3 linked regions of the Danio rerio genome follow. The protein of the gene in region 3 binds, or shares a complex with, the protein of the main gene of each other region. Links are inferred from orthologs where the notes say so. Each region holds a gene or a part of one and is shown on either strand. Other genes may lie near its edges.

What was found. The genes of interacting proteins can lie anywhere in the genome.
Region 1: the proteins of ncaph2 (region 3) and ncapg2 are in contact, whole or in part, in a cryo-EM structure (PDB 9F5W), measured with the Homo sapiens proteins. The link is inferred for Danio rerio from reciprocal best matches to the Homo sapiens genes NCAPH2 and NCAPG2. Residues at the interface, in NP_689512.2 of Homo sapiens: Pro316, Trp317, Gln318, Ser319, Leu320, Pro322, Phe323, Asp324, Ser325, Leu326, Glu327, Ser328, Lys329, Pro330, Phe331, Lys332, Lys333, Gly334, Arg335, Pro336, Tyr337, Ser338, Val339, Glu344, Gln360, Asp361, Phe362, Gln364, Trp365, Tyr366; in NP_001268861.1 of Homo sapiens: Lys248, Leu251, Gln252, His292, Ile294, His295, Leu296, Pro297, Arg299, Ser300, Val302, Lys340, Ala341, Arg342, Asn343, Ser344, Glu345, Val346, Pro388, Tyr389, Pro390, Arg393, Gly425, Glu426, Ala428, Phe429, Asp430, Thr431, Ser432, Arg437.
Region 2: the proteins of ncaph2 (region 3) and smc2 are in contact, whole or in part, in a cryo-EM structure (PDB 9F5W), measured with the Homo sapiens proteins. The link is inferred for Danio rerio from reciprocal best matches to the Homo sapiens genes NCAPH2 and SMC2. Residues at the interface, in NP_689512.2 of Homo sapiens: Glu46, Phe53, Ile54, Glu55, Leu58, Leu59, Gly62, Ser63, Ala64, Cys65, Val66, Lys69, Tyr73; in NP_001036015.1 of Homo sapiens: Leu93, Thr125, Gln128, Asp129, Cys132, Gly135, Leu136, Asn137, Met173, Tyr174, Lys177, Lys178.

The regions. Positions count from the first base shown.
Region 1 is NC_133182.1:40,558,053-40,561,699, forward strand, and holds part of ncapg2 (condensin-2 complex subunit G2), read left to right. Parts: intron 1-87; coding exon 88-261; intron 262-395; coding exon 396-466; intron 467-870; coding exon 871-1,024; intron 1,025-3,093; coding exon 3,094-3,270; intron 3,271-3,647. UniProt on the Homo sapiens protein: Regulatory subunit of the condensin-2 complex, a complex which establishes mitotic chromosome architecture and is involved in physical rigidity of the chromatid axis.
Region 2 is NC_133176.1:21,044,364-21,048,010, forward strand, and holds part of smc2 (structural maintenance of chromosomes protein 2), read left to right. Parts: intron 1-144; coding exon 145-378; intron 379-3,243; coding exon 3,244-3,393; intron 3,394-3,647. UniProt on the Homo sapiens protein: Central component of the condensin complex, a complex required for conversion of interphase chromatin into mitotic-like condense chromosomes.
Region 3 is NC_133179.1:19,032,060-19,036,376, forward strand, and holds the start of ncaph2 (condensin-2 complex subunit H2), read left to right. Parts: upstream 1-1,460; 5' UTR 1,461-1,553; intron 1,554-2,413; 5' UTR 2,414-2,435; coding exon 2,436-2,543; intron 2,544-2,633; coding exon 2,634-2,735; intron 2,736-3,105; coding exon 3,106-3,167; intron 3,168-3,281; coding exon 3,282-3,357; intron 3,358-3,430; coding exon 3,431-3,496; intron 3,497-4,045; coding exon 4,046-4,125; intron 4,126-4,317. UniProt on the Homo sapiens protein: Regulatory subunit of the condensin-2 complex, a complex that seems to provide chromosomes with an additional level of organization and rigidity and in establishing mitotic chromosome architecture.

The DNA of each region.
Region 1 (3,647 bases), on a different chromosome or scaffold from region 3:
TTGTTGAGCAATGATGTAAAATTGTAAACAATACATATTTATATATATATAAATAAAAATGCCTATGTTTGCTATTATTGACACTAGCTGCTGGAAGATGTTCTCTCAGTTCAGGACACCTCCTCCATGGCCAGCCTGCTGGAGATCCTTGTCATTCTGTGGAAGAGTGTTCAGAAATCTCTAATGGCTAATCAAGAGGCCTTTAAGTACACCACTGCAAAGTTTGGATCTTCTCTGCCCCAGTACCTTAAAATCTTTCAGGTAAGAGGCACGTTCAAGCGATGAAACCAAAGGACAATTTTAAGATCAAAATGGCACACTATAATCACATCTTCAAAGCTGATGCAACATGGGTGCAACATGACGCATTTGTGTGTGTGTGTGCATGTGCGCAGGAGGAGCGATGCAAAGCACCTCTCATTCTTCTAGCATCTTTACTTCCTGCCTCTGCTCTTCCAGCTCTGAGGTTAGTACACTTATTACACTATAGGACTTCCCTTAAAAAAATCCCTAAATGCCCCATTTTAGAAGAATAATGCAGCCAACAATGAAAACACTCTTTCTTGACATAAGGTGAATTGTCTAAATAGTAAAAAATATGAACAAGTGTACCAGCAAAGGACAGTTTTAAAAAGAACAGCACTTCTAAATATATGTTTTTCTGATGATTATCTAGCACAGTCCACGTGCTTCAGTCAGTCGTCTCCCCAGAACAGCAGGTTGGCTCAAAAGCGAATTGCCAATTCTGATTTCCATTTGATCCCAAAAGCATCCTTTTAATGCTGGTGGGATTGAGCGTGTTTTTTCAAAGAATTAGAGCGATCTGTAGAAAAGTCTGGGTGTACAGCATGACTGTGTCCTTCTCTGCAGGAGTAAAGTGATGTCTCACTTGAGGAGCTTGAAAGCGGGTGCTGCTGTGACAACGTACAGTCAGACGTTGGAATGTCTCTGTAGCTGGGGGCAGATCAGCCATATAGTGGAGCTTATCGAGAACTGGCTCACTGAGGCCGCACCTGTGAAAGAGGTACATGTGCTGGAAAGTGTCTATGTGTGGGGGTCATTATTAAGGCTGGGTATTGTTTTTGTGTTTTTAAAGGGATAGTTCAATTAAAAAATATAATCCTCCCCATTATTTTAAAGGTACAGTAGGTGATCTGCCTAAATGCTATCAGTTTGCCATACAATCATTGAAATACAGTCCATCCCCTGCCGTCCAAAGCCATGCCATGGTGTCATCCTTTCTCCAGCATGCAAGAGTAAATCCAATACTAATTCAGGATTTTAAAAAGTTTTGATTCAGCATTTGTTTTTACCGCTGTCACTCTTTCAACTAGCACAACAAAAAATGTTTCTGAAGACAATCACATACTGCACCTTTGAACATGTTTGACTTTCCCTCATCTGTTGAACACAGAAGATATTTTGAAGAGTGCTGGTTGCTGAGACCCGACTTTTATATTAGATTTTTTACTGTAGAGTTCAATGGATACTAGCAACCAGCATTCCTTAAAAAATCCTCAGAAGAAAAAAAATCAAACAGAAGAAATAAACTTAAACAGGTTTTGCTCAGCTACCTAAACAGCTACCTAAATTGACATTTTAAATTGTATTATTGAAATTGAAAAATATATTGAAAGTTTTAGACAACGTAAAGACATAAGTAAATGCAAAGCAAATTTACTAAACAATAAATCATAGCCATCTTGGCCATCTACAATAATTGAACAGTAAATAAGAGCACTATTCACAGCAAAACTACTTATGCAGAAACATGACTTTATTTGGCAAAATACAACACCTCTGCCTGCCGTCTTACTTCATGTTCTGATATGTCATCGTTAGACCATTAAAAACTTTGTGCATTAAAACGCTTTGTGATCATTCACAATAGGTACATTGTGAGTATATGCAAAGTTGAGTCTGGATTATGTGACTGTGTGAGGATTGTAAAAGCATTCCGGCATAAGAAATTGTACCGTTTGTAACTTTGACGAATTAATAATAATTAATTTTATTGAATTGTTTCTAAAATGAAGACTATGAGATAATATTTTTTTTACCTTTGATTATTCAATTACTATATCTGAATACAGTTTGACTCCTTGGAAAACAGCAAAATGCTGTTTATTTAATTTGTATATTTTTTCTTTATAGAATTTTTCTTTGCTTGTAGATTGTTAAATCTAAAAATATAAATTCTGTCCAAATAGGTATTCAACTCATCTGGTGAAATTGTATTCACATCACGATATATATTGCAGAATAAAAAACATCTCAATGCCAGATTTATTTCAATATTGTGCAGCCCTAGAATACACAATAAGTGATGTTTAGGGCCAGACAGAATCTGCAGACATTTTTTCACTATTTCTGCGCTGAATATTGTAAAAAAAAAAAAAAATCTGTGGATTTGAGCAGAATGATTTTGGGAGTATCGTAACAAAAATGTATTATATGAAATATAAAAAAAAACTTTTTAACATTTATTTAGTGTTTAGAATGCAAATCAAATTAGATCCACTTATTTGGTTAACAAAGCAAGTCTCTCATATAATTTATCTACTAAAAGACAGTAAGCATTATTTTAAAAACTGTATTGTGAATAACTCATATGAACATTTTCATATTAGTCAATACTATTACTGAAAATAATTTAACAACTAAATAAATATACATTTACATAAGTAAATAAATAGAATCGATTGGCTTAAAATCTGCGGATTTCTGCATGCACAGATTCCATGTGGGCCCAGTGATGTCTCTAGAAATATTACAGTTAGACAGAACAGTTATAAGCTTGACATTGCAGTCTCAATAACTAATCATATACTAGTCTGTAGCTTGTAATAAGAATAATCATTCCTTAACTTGCTGTGTCTGTGCTTTTTCACAAATTATGATGGATTAAAAATTATTTTTAATTATTAAAGTTGTTTAATTTAGTTATTAAAGTTATTTTTAATTATTAAAATCATACATCACATGCATCAAAATCTGCATTTTAATTTGATCCAAATACTTACTTGTTACATTGGTATGGCACCAAGTTTCAGAACCTAGCTTTTCATTATAGTGTCTTCATTCTTTCATTAGCAGGGTGATGAAGAATCAACTGGCAAAGTGCATTTTGATGTCCTGGAGGAGTCAAAGCCAGATCTAGGCCTAGACTATCTGGATTACATGCTCTTGAGACCTAAAACACGAGAATGTCTGCTCACACTGCCCCTGGATCAGATGAGACCACTTCATAAAGCCCTCAACAAATGGAAGGTACAGCAAACTTGAAGGTTGAGAATATTATTAGAGAGAATTGGTGAAAGCCTACTCTTTTATTGTGTGTCGTGTTATTACTGTCATTAGATACAAAGTCAATAAGGTAATTGCAGGTTTTCTGTGGCCTTGCTTTGAAAATAGTGCTGCACAGAGCTGAATCATGGCTAAATGTCGTGATGTTTTTGTCCTTATTATCTACTTATATCTCTGAAAGCTCACAGAATTGTTATATTCAAGGATGTTTTGTTTACCAAGGTCAGACTTCAAATATTATATTACATGTTTTTCAGCCTCTATCTTTGAAAAAAATTATGTTTTTTTCAGGGTTTTTGTAGGGTCTTAAAAAGTTTTCATTTTTTTTTTTAAACAAAAAT
Region 2 (3,647 bases), on a different chromosome or scaffold from region 3:
TATATGGGCTGAATTTAAACAAATTAAATTTAGTAATGTTTAACTTAATTGGTTTGTTTAAAATCAGACCGTATATAAAAGTTTTGCAACCAGTTACCTTAAAAAATGTAGTAAAGTGTATTGCTCTCATTTGCTTCTTCTCAGGAACGTGCATCCTATCTGGAGTACCAGAAGCTCATGCGAGAGATTGAACACCTGAGTCGGCTGTACGTGGCGTACCTGTTTGTGTGTGCCGAGGAAACCAAGCTGAAGTCTAATGAAGAACTGCAAGAGATGCAGAGCTCCATCGCAAAGCTGCAGGAGAACATGAAACAGAATGAGGCCAAAGTGAAGGAGCTCAGTGCAGAGATACAGGAGCTGGAGCGCAGGAGAGACAAGGTGAGTGGAGAACAAACAGCCAGATCTAAAAACAAGGGCAGGAATTAATAGTGCATTCATTGGGAATATTCATTAAGGGGGCAATTCCTGTCTAACAAAGTCCATCAGAGTAGTGGGGGGCAGGCCCAAGGAGAACAAGGGCTCACTTATGGATTACTTATTATAAAAACTGAGCAGATTGCTCCGTTTTTGGCTAAATAAATAAAAAATGTAAATTATAATAATTCCTTACTTGTATATAGCACTTTTCTGGACACTTAAAGCATTTTACACATTGAGGGAATCTCCTCATCCACCACCAGTGTGCACCACTGATGATGCCACCTGGATGTTGTTTCAGTGATTCATTTAAATTGCTATCAGATTTTATTTGCTAAGCTAATTTCCGCCTCTTATAATCTACTGAGACTTTTAATTATTATTAATTATTCGATTTAAAAAAATGCAAATATTTTTTTTTTCCAAAGTTCAAATGCAAATATTTTTTTTCTGTAAAATATTCTATTTACATATTGTGTAATGATATTTACATCACAATATATTTTACCATCACAAATATGCAAACATAGTGCATGTAAGAGAAAAGGAGTACAGAGAAACAGAGAACAGTATCAGATCAGTAAGAATACAAATTGTCCTTGTGTTTATACATAGTTTTAAGATAATTTATAAAAGAACACCACTTTTGTTGCTGTTGTTTTTTTTTTCTTTCAAATTTCTAATAAGTTTTTTTCAAAACATGTCTTTCTTAAGAACAGATATGCTACCTACTATTAAAAAAAAGGTTTAGTTAAATATTTCAATCCGCACCAGTGCATTAAACTCATTTATACTGTTACACAGAAAAATTCTGTGTAAAATACAGTTGAAGTCAGAATTATAATTTTTTTCTTTTTAAAATATTTTCTAAATAATGTTTAACAGAGCAATGAAATTTAGATTTTTTTATATTGTTTGATTTCGGCTAGAATAAAAGGAGTTTTTATTTTTTTAGAAACCATTTTAAGGTCAAAATTAATAGCCCTGTTGAGCTATATATTTTTTCGATACACAATCGTTATACAATAACTTGCCTTATTACCCAAACCTGCCTAATTACCATAGTTAAGCCTTTAAATGTCACTTTAAGCTGTATAAAAGTGTCTTGAAAAATATCTAGTCAAATATTATTTGCTGTCATTATGGCAAAGAAAAAATAAATCTGTTATTAGTAATGAGTTATCAAAACTTTTATGTTTGGAAATGTTTGGAAAAAAATCTTCTCCATTAAACAGAAATTGGGGGAAAATATAGACAGGGAGGCTAATAATTTAGGGGGTTTAACAATTCTGACTTCAACTGTAAATGTTGTGCTTTTCAACTTTCTCTTTATAAACAGTATATCACAGTTTTTACTTAAAAATGGCATAACTGTTGTCAGCTTTGATAATATTAAGCCAATCAATTGAGCATTTTATAATGATTTCCGAAGATCACATGACATTGAACTCAACTCATGAATTCAGCTTTGCTATAACAAGAATAAACATCTTTTTAAAACCTGTATTTCACAGTGCTGCTTTTATGGTATTATTTTTTTAGATACGCAACCTTAAAAGACCTTACAAACTGCTAAATCAAAGTGTATTCACAATTCATCTTATAGTACTGAATTGAAACAAGTGGTGAACAAATGTCAAATTCCTCCATCAGAGATGAGACCTTTTATCAATGTTTACATTTTAAACAAGTGGCAAGAAGACGGGATGCATTAGAAAATAATACATTACATGAAATCCAACCTGAAATCTCACAGATTGTTAAGAGATTTTAAGACTAGATTTGATCAGGTGATTTTTACCAGACACAATACAAGAATAACCCATGTTTTTTGCTCCAATGTGAAATCCCTACTCGGTGTTTGTGCTGCACGACTCCCCTTAAAACACATTTTTCTGGACTGTCCTGCTTTTACTGATTCCAGAAGACTTTTAAATGAATTGAACTCTCATAAGGACATTTTTAGCAAAGTGACAACAAAAAAGATTTTAATATTTTTATTATGTAATAACACTAAAAAACTTATTTAATTGATGTGTTCCTTATTGATTTTTAATTGTATATTTATTGAAATGTTCCTCCCATGAAAATAGCCTTGGTCACTGACATGGCATTAAATAAAAAATGCAATACATTATAGTTCTGAATATAAGTGTATTCACAACTGTACCATTCAAACATGTAAACAATATATGACTACACTTACTATTTTAATCATAAGTTATCTGAAATGCAGTGATTTAAAAAATGTGATAATGTTTCCTTTAATCTAGCAATATGTATTGTATAATTAACTCAGATTATATAAAACGTTTATTAATTAGAAATAGTAATTGTTATCATGGTTATTTTTTTGCATGTATAATTTTTTCATCTTGAAATTTTGTGTTGTAAGTTATTGCGGCTGCATCTGTTGTGTAGCTTTAGTTGTGTCAACTGTCAAAATGTTCTATGCAGAGAGGAAAACTGTCTTTAATTTATTCAAAATGATTTGTGGTTCTGATTAAACTCATCCAAGGTCCAAATCTGGACCGCAGTCTGCGGTGGGGTGACCTCGAATTTAAATAGTTTGGGTTTCTTTTACTTGAACAGGTTTGGTAATCGAGTACTTTTGTGGAGACTGGAGGTCTGTAATATGGGATGGGATGGTGGGTAATGGACTGGCAAAAGTATTAAAATCATTGTACGGGAAAAGATTTGTGAATTTTTAATGATGCAAATTGATACCTGTTAGAAAAGTGTGCGGTTGATTGATTGAATATTTCTGTCTCCTGTTGTACTCCATTAGCTCGTCTCATTTCTGTGTCTGTCTCTCTTTCTCTCCAGGAGGTTGGGGGGGTATTGAGGACGCTGGAAGAGACCTTGTCTGAAGCACAGAGAGTGGACACCAAGGCCCAAAGTGCCCTGGATCTGAAGAAGCAAAACCTGAAAGATGAGACCAAGAAGAGGAAAGAGCTGGTCAAAAACATGGAGGAGGTATGAGATGATGCTGTCCTTTATTCAAATTAGGCTTTTGTATTTGCTTTTTGGTTTTCCACTCTTTGACTTAAAGGTAGTTCACCCAAAAATGGAAATTTACTCAAGTGGTTCCAAATATTTGAGTTTTATTTAATCTGTTGAACCCAAAAGAGATATATTGAAGATGCATACAATTCTTGTTTGTCGTCTCGCGCATTGTGTCTGTTTGTGTCTGTAGATTTCAGTTGCAATATATATTTTTACTACTTCAC
Region 3 (4,317 bases):
AAGACAAACAAATTAAAAACCATTTTAAGGTCAAAATTATTAGCCTCTTTAAGCTAGGTTTTTCCCGATAGACTACAGAACAAACCATCGTTATACAATAACTTGCCTTATTACCCTAACCTGCCTAGTTAACCTAATTAACCTAGTTAAGCCTTTAAATGTCACTTTAAGCTGTATAGAAGTGCCTTGAGAAAAATCTAGTCAAATATTATTTACTGTCATCATGACAAAGATAAAAGAAATCAGTCATTAGAAATGAGTTATTAAAACTGTTATGTTCAGAAATGTGTTGGAATTTTTTTTATATCCATTAAATAGAAATGGGGGGAAAAAATAAACAGGGGCGTTATTAATTCTGACTTAACCTGTATGTATGTATGTATGTATGTATGTGTATTATTTAATTATAGACTGTATATGTATGTAGATGCAGTTTTTCAACTTAAAATTAAAGGATTTTATTAAAAATTAATTAATATTATACCACTATTACTATTGATATTATAATTATTTAATTATATTATTGAAATTGAATAAAAATAAATAATATAAATGAAGTCATAAATAAGGCGATGCAGTGGTGCATTAGGTAGAGCTGTCGCCTCACAGCAAGAAGGTCGCTGGTTCGAGCCTCAACTGGGTCAGTTGACATTTCTGTGTGGAGTTTGCATGTTCTCCTGGCGTTTGCGTGGATTCCCTCCGGGTGCTTCAGTTTCCCCATCAAGTCCTAAAACTTGCGGTACAGGTGAATTGGGTAGGCTAAATTGTTCGTAGTGCCTGAGTGCGAATGGGTGTATATGTTTCCCAGAGATGGGTTGCGGCTGGAAGGGCATCCCCTGTGTAAAAACTTGCTGGATAAGTTGGCGGTTCATTCCGCTGTGGCGACCCCAGATTAATAAAGGGACTAAGCTAAAAAAAAATGAATGAAAAAGTAATAAATAAATAACTCAAACCTATATAAAAATGTAATAGTTAATCAACAGGAAATGGTTGATGTGGTCTAAAGTACTGATTTGGTTTGAAAAAAAAGCTTCTATTCTTTTATAAAGAGGTTCTATGCAATCAAATTGATTTACTATAATTGTTCATTTTCTCTGGAGTTAATCTTATAACAAACAAAACGAATTATATCTGGCTGTGTTATAGCTACCTCTTCTGGTCACTGCAGATACTTACACTAGCCAATAAGACTTTTTTATACATATTTAAGCTACACTTTCATTAAATTGTCTGCTCATAGTTGTACAAAAAATGTCTTTGATGTAAGATAAACGTAATATATAATACGTTTTTTATCATTAGTTAAAAATGGCCTGTAAGTTATAGTGGACACAGACGATACACCTCCAAATCAATAGGGGGCGGCAGTTTTGCAGAAGTCTTGTCTGACGTCACGCACGCGGCAAAAACAAAAATGACGTACCCGCGGTATTTCCCTTAAATTTAGATTTTGATACTTTGCCTAATTTTATAGTATAAACTCTATATTTTTCGAAGTACGCACACAGAAGATCATTTCTAGCCAAGAGCCATTGCTTGTCCGCTTGTTAAAGGTGAGCATATTGATATTATTATCGCCTTGCTGGATCTTCAGTTATGTTACATTTCACTCTTACTAATGTGTAAAATACTGGAATTCAGTATAGCTTATAGTTTAACACAGATTCTGAATTGTTATCTTGAAATGCGTATTTTTATGTTCACATAATACAGATCGCTTTATTATGCGTGCGCATGTGTTTATAAGACAGTTAGCATTTAACGTTAGTGTTTAACGTTACACTTACTGTGATTCAGTAAATCGACATGGGTTCTTTCGATGTAAACAGATTTAAAATATGTCATTATTTGCTCTCTCTTCACGTGTTCCAAACTCGTTGAGTTTCTTTCTTCTGTTAAACACAAAAGAAGACGTTTTAAAGAAAGCTGGAAACCTGTAAATATTAACAACTATTAAACGTCAATTGACTTTTACAGTATTTGTGTTTCCTACTCTGGAAGTCAATGGTTACAGGGTTTCAGCGTTCAAAATCTTCATTTGTGTTCAGCAAAAGAAAGAAAATCATCAAGGTTTGTATACATGAATACTTGTTCATTTTTTTGGCAAACCATGCTTTTAATCATACTTTACTACTTATAAAGCAAATACATACAGTTGTAATTAAAATTTGATTATTGTAAATCCACAATGCTTTTTTCTAATCATAATTAAACCATGGTACTTGCAGCAAAATTATGGTTATACAAATGATAAGCCAAATTCCAAAAGTACCATGGTTATTACATTTTTACTATAATAAAACTTGTATTATTACAGCAGTCTAAAATCACACATTTTGTTAGATGTTAGTCACTTATGATTAAGTTTTATATACTTTAATTGAAAATGTCTGGTAAAAAATGTGTATTTCAGCGTATTTTGAAAGTACTTGGTCATGGACTCTGTGGAGACAAGATATGCCCATTTACTGCAACCCTTGCGGGACCTCACCAAGAACTGGGACATAGACTTGGCCAGCCAGCTTGGAGAATATCTCGAGGAGGTGAGAAAACATACAGTCTGATTGAGAATTACCTTAATGTTTTGAATGTGCAGATTTTCATATTATTGCTGTTGTTTTTGTTGTTGACAGCTGGACCAGATGACTATTTCATTTGATGGTGGAAAGACCATGATGAACTTTGCAGAGGCTGCACTTTTGATTCAAGGATCAACATGCATCTATGGCAGAAAGGTACAATGTTTGATCAATCAAAAGAGAAATGTACTAGAATTTCACATTTTCCAATTGTGATCATGTTATTAACAGGGAACCATTTCATTTTGCACATTTTAATCCTCAATATGTTTCAGAATCACATTTCTAAACAAATGCAACATGTTAACACGTGTAATTCATTTATTTTTATTTAATTTATTTATTTTTCTGTAGGTTCAATAAAATAAATAATAAAATAACACAAAATACAGTATTGCAATTTTAAGTGTTTTTGTTTATGTATGCAGTCAATGTGTTTCATAATCAAATGTGATTTTAAAATTGTTTGTAAAACTTAAATAAATCTGTCCCAAGATTAATGGTGAAATTTGCTGTGAACATTTAGGTGGAGCTCCTTCACACTCTGGTGTTCCAAACATTGGACTACATCTCTAATAAAAACAAAAAGTAGGTGATTGAAAAAAAAAAGATAATAATAATAATAATAATAATAATAATAATAATTGACCTCCAGTTTCTGTTTATTCTTTATGTGTAATGTTGCTTGTTTTTTCCTAACAGACGTGATAAACAAGGTTCTTCATCAGATGGAAACCAAGAACAAGCTCCTTCGGGAAGCGAAGGCGATGGTTGTGAGGTGTGTAAATGATCAACATTTGATAACTTTAAATATGTGGTTATATTGTGAGTAATTGTGTGTTTTTGTGCAGTTTGATGAGATTGAGCAGGATGAGAATGTCAACACTCACAATATTACAATGAAAGATCCAACAGAGGTAAGCATGGTTATATTGCTTTCTAGAACCTGTGTTTGTGTCCAGAAGCTTTGTCTGAATCTGTTCATGCTTGTAGTTTGGTTTATTTGGTTGATTTGTTTTGGGGGAAAAAGATAAAGAAAATGTAATATGTGAATTTTTTTTTTGTAGTCTTGGTTGGTTTAGGATGTATGCTGTCCTTTAGGATTCAGACTGAAAATGTTTTTATAATTTCTATTTTGTAAAAGAATTAAACAATATAATGTTGTTGCAAACCTCAAAGTTCAGATGGCAATATTCACATTTATTCAAATAAACTGCACTAACAAACAATCAAAACCGAGTTTGTTATAATCAAACCAAGTCTGCCTAGTATGAGTGAATTTTGACTGGACATAGTATTCTTTTTACTAGTGATTATATGCTCTTGATATAAAGCAATACCAGCAATTGTTTAGTATTCTCTGCACAGCAAATGGTTGTTTTGCGAAAACCTTTTATAAGAATTCAGGAAAGTTTTGATATATTTGTTTTTGTGGTACTAATTCTTTTTCACTCATTTGTTTTTAGCCAGTGAGAATTATCCGTCTTCCTCCTGAATCTCTCATTCCTGCTGAATCACACGAGAAGCAAAAATACCCCCTTCTAAGGTAAAGTCACTGTCATGTAGAGACAAATGAAAATGATGCATACATTTACACTGTAAAACAGCAAATAGGAGAATGTAAAGAATCTTCCATTGGGTTCACACCTGTAGATTAGTTGTCAGGGTTCTTTAGTCCAGACCAAAAAGGAGAATAATGAATGTGTGACGCTGGACAGAAAAAACAGTGATAAGTGTC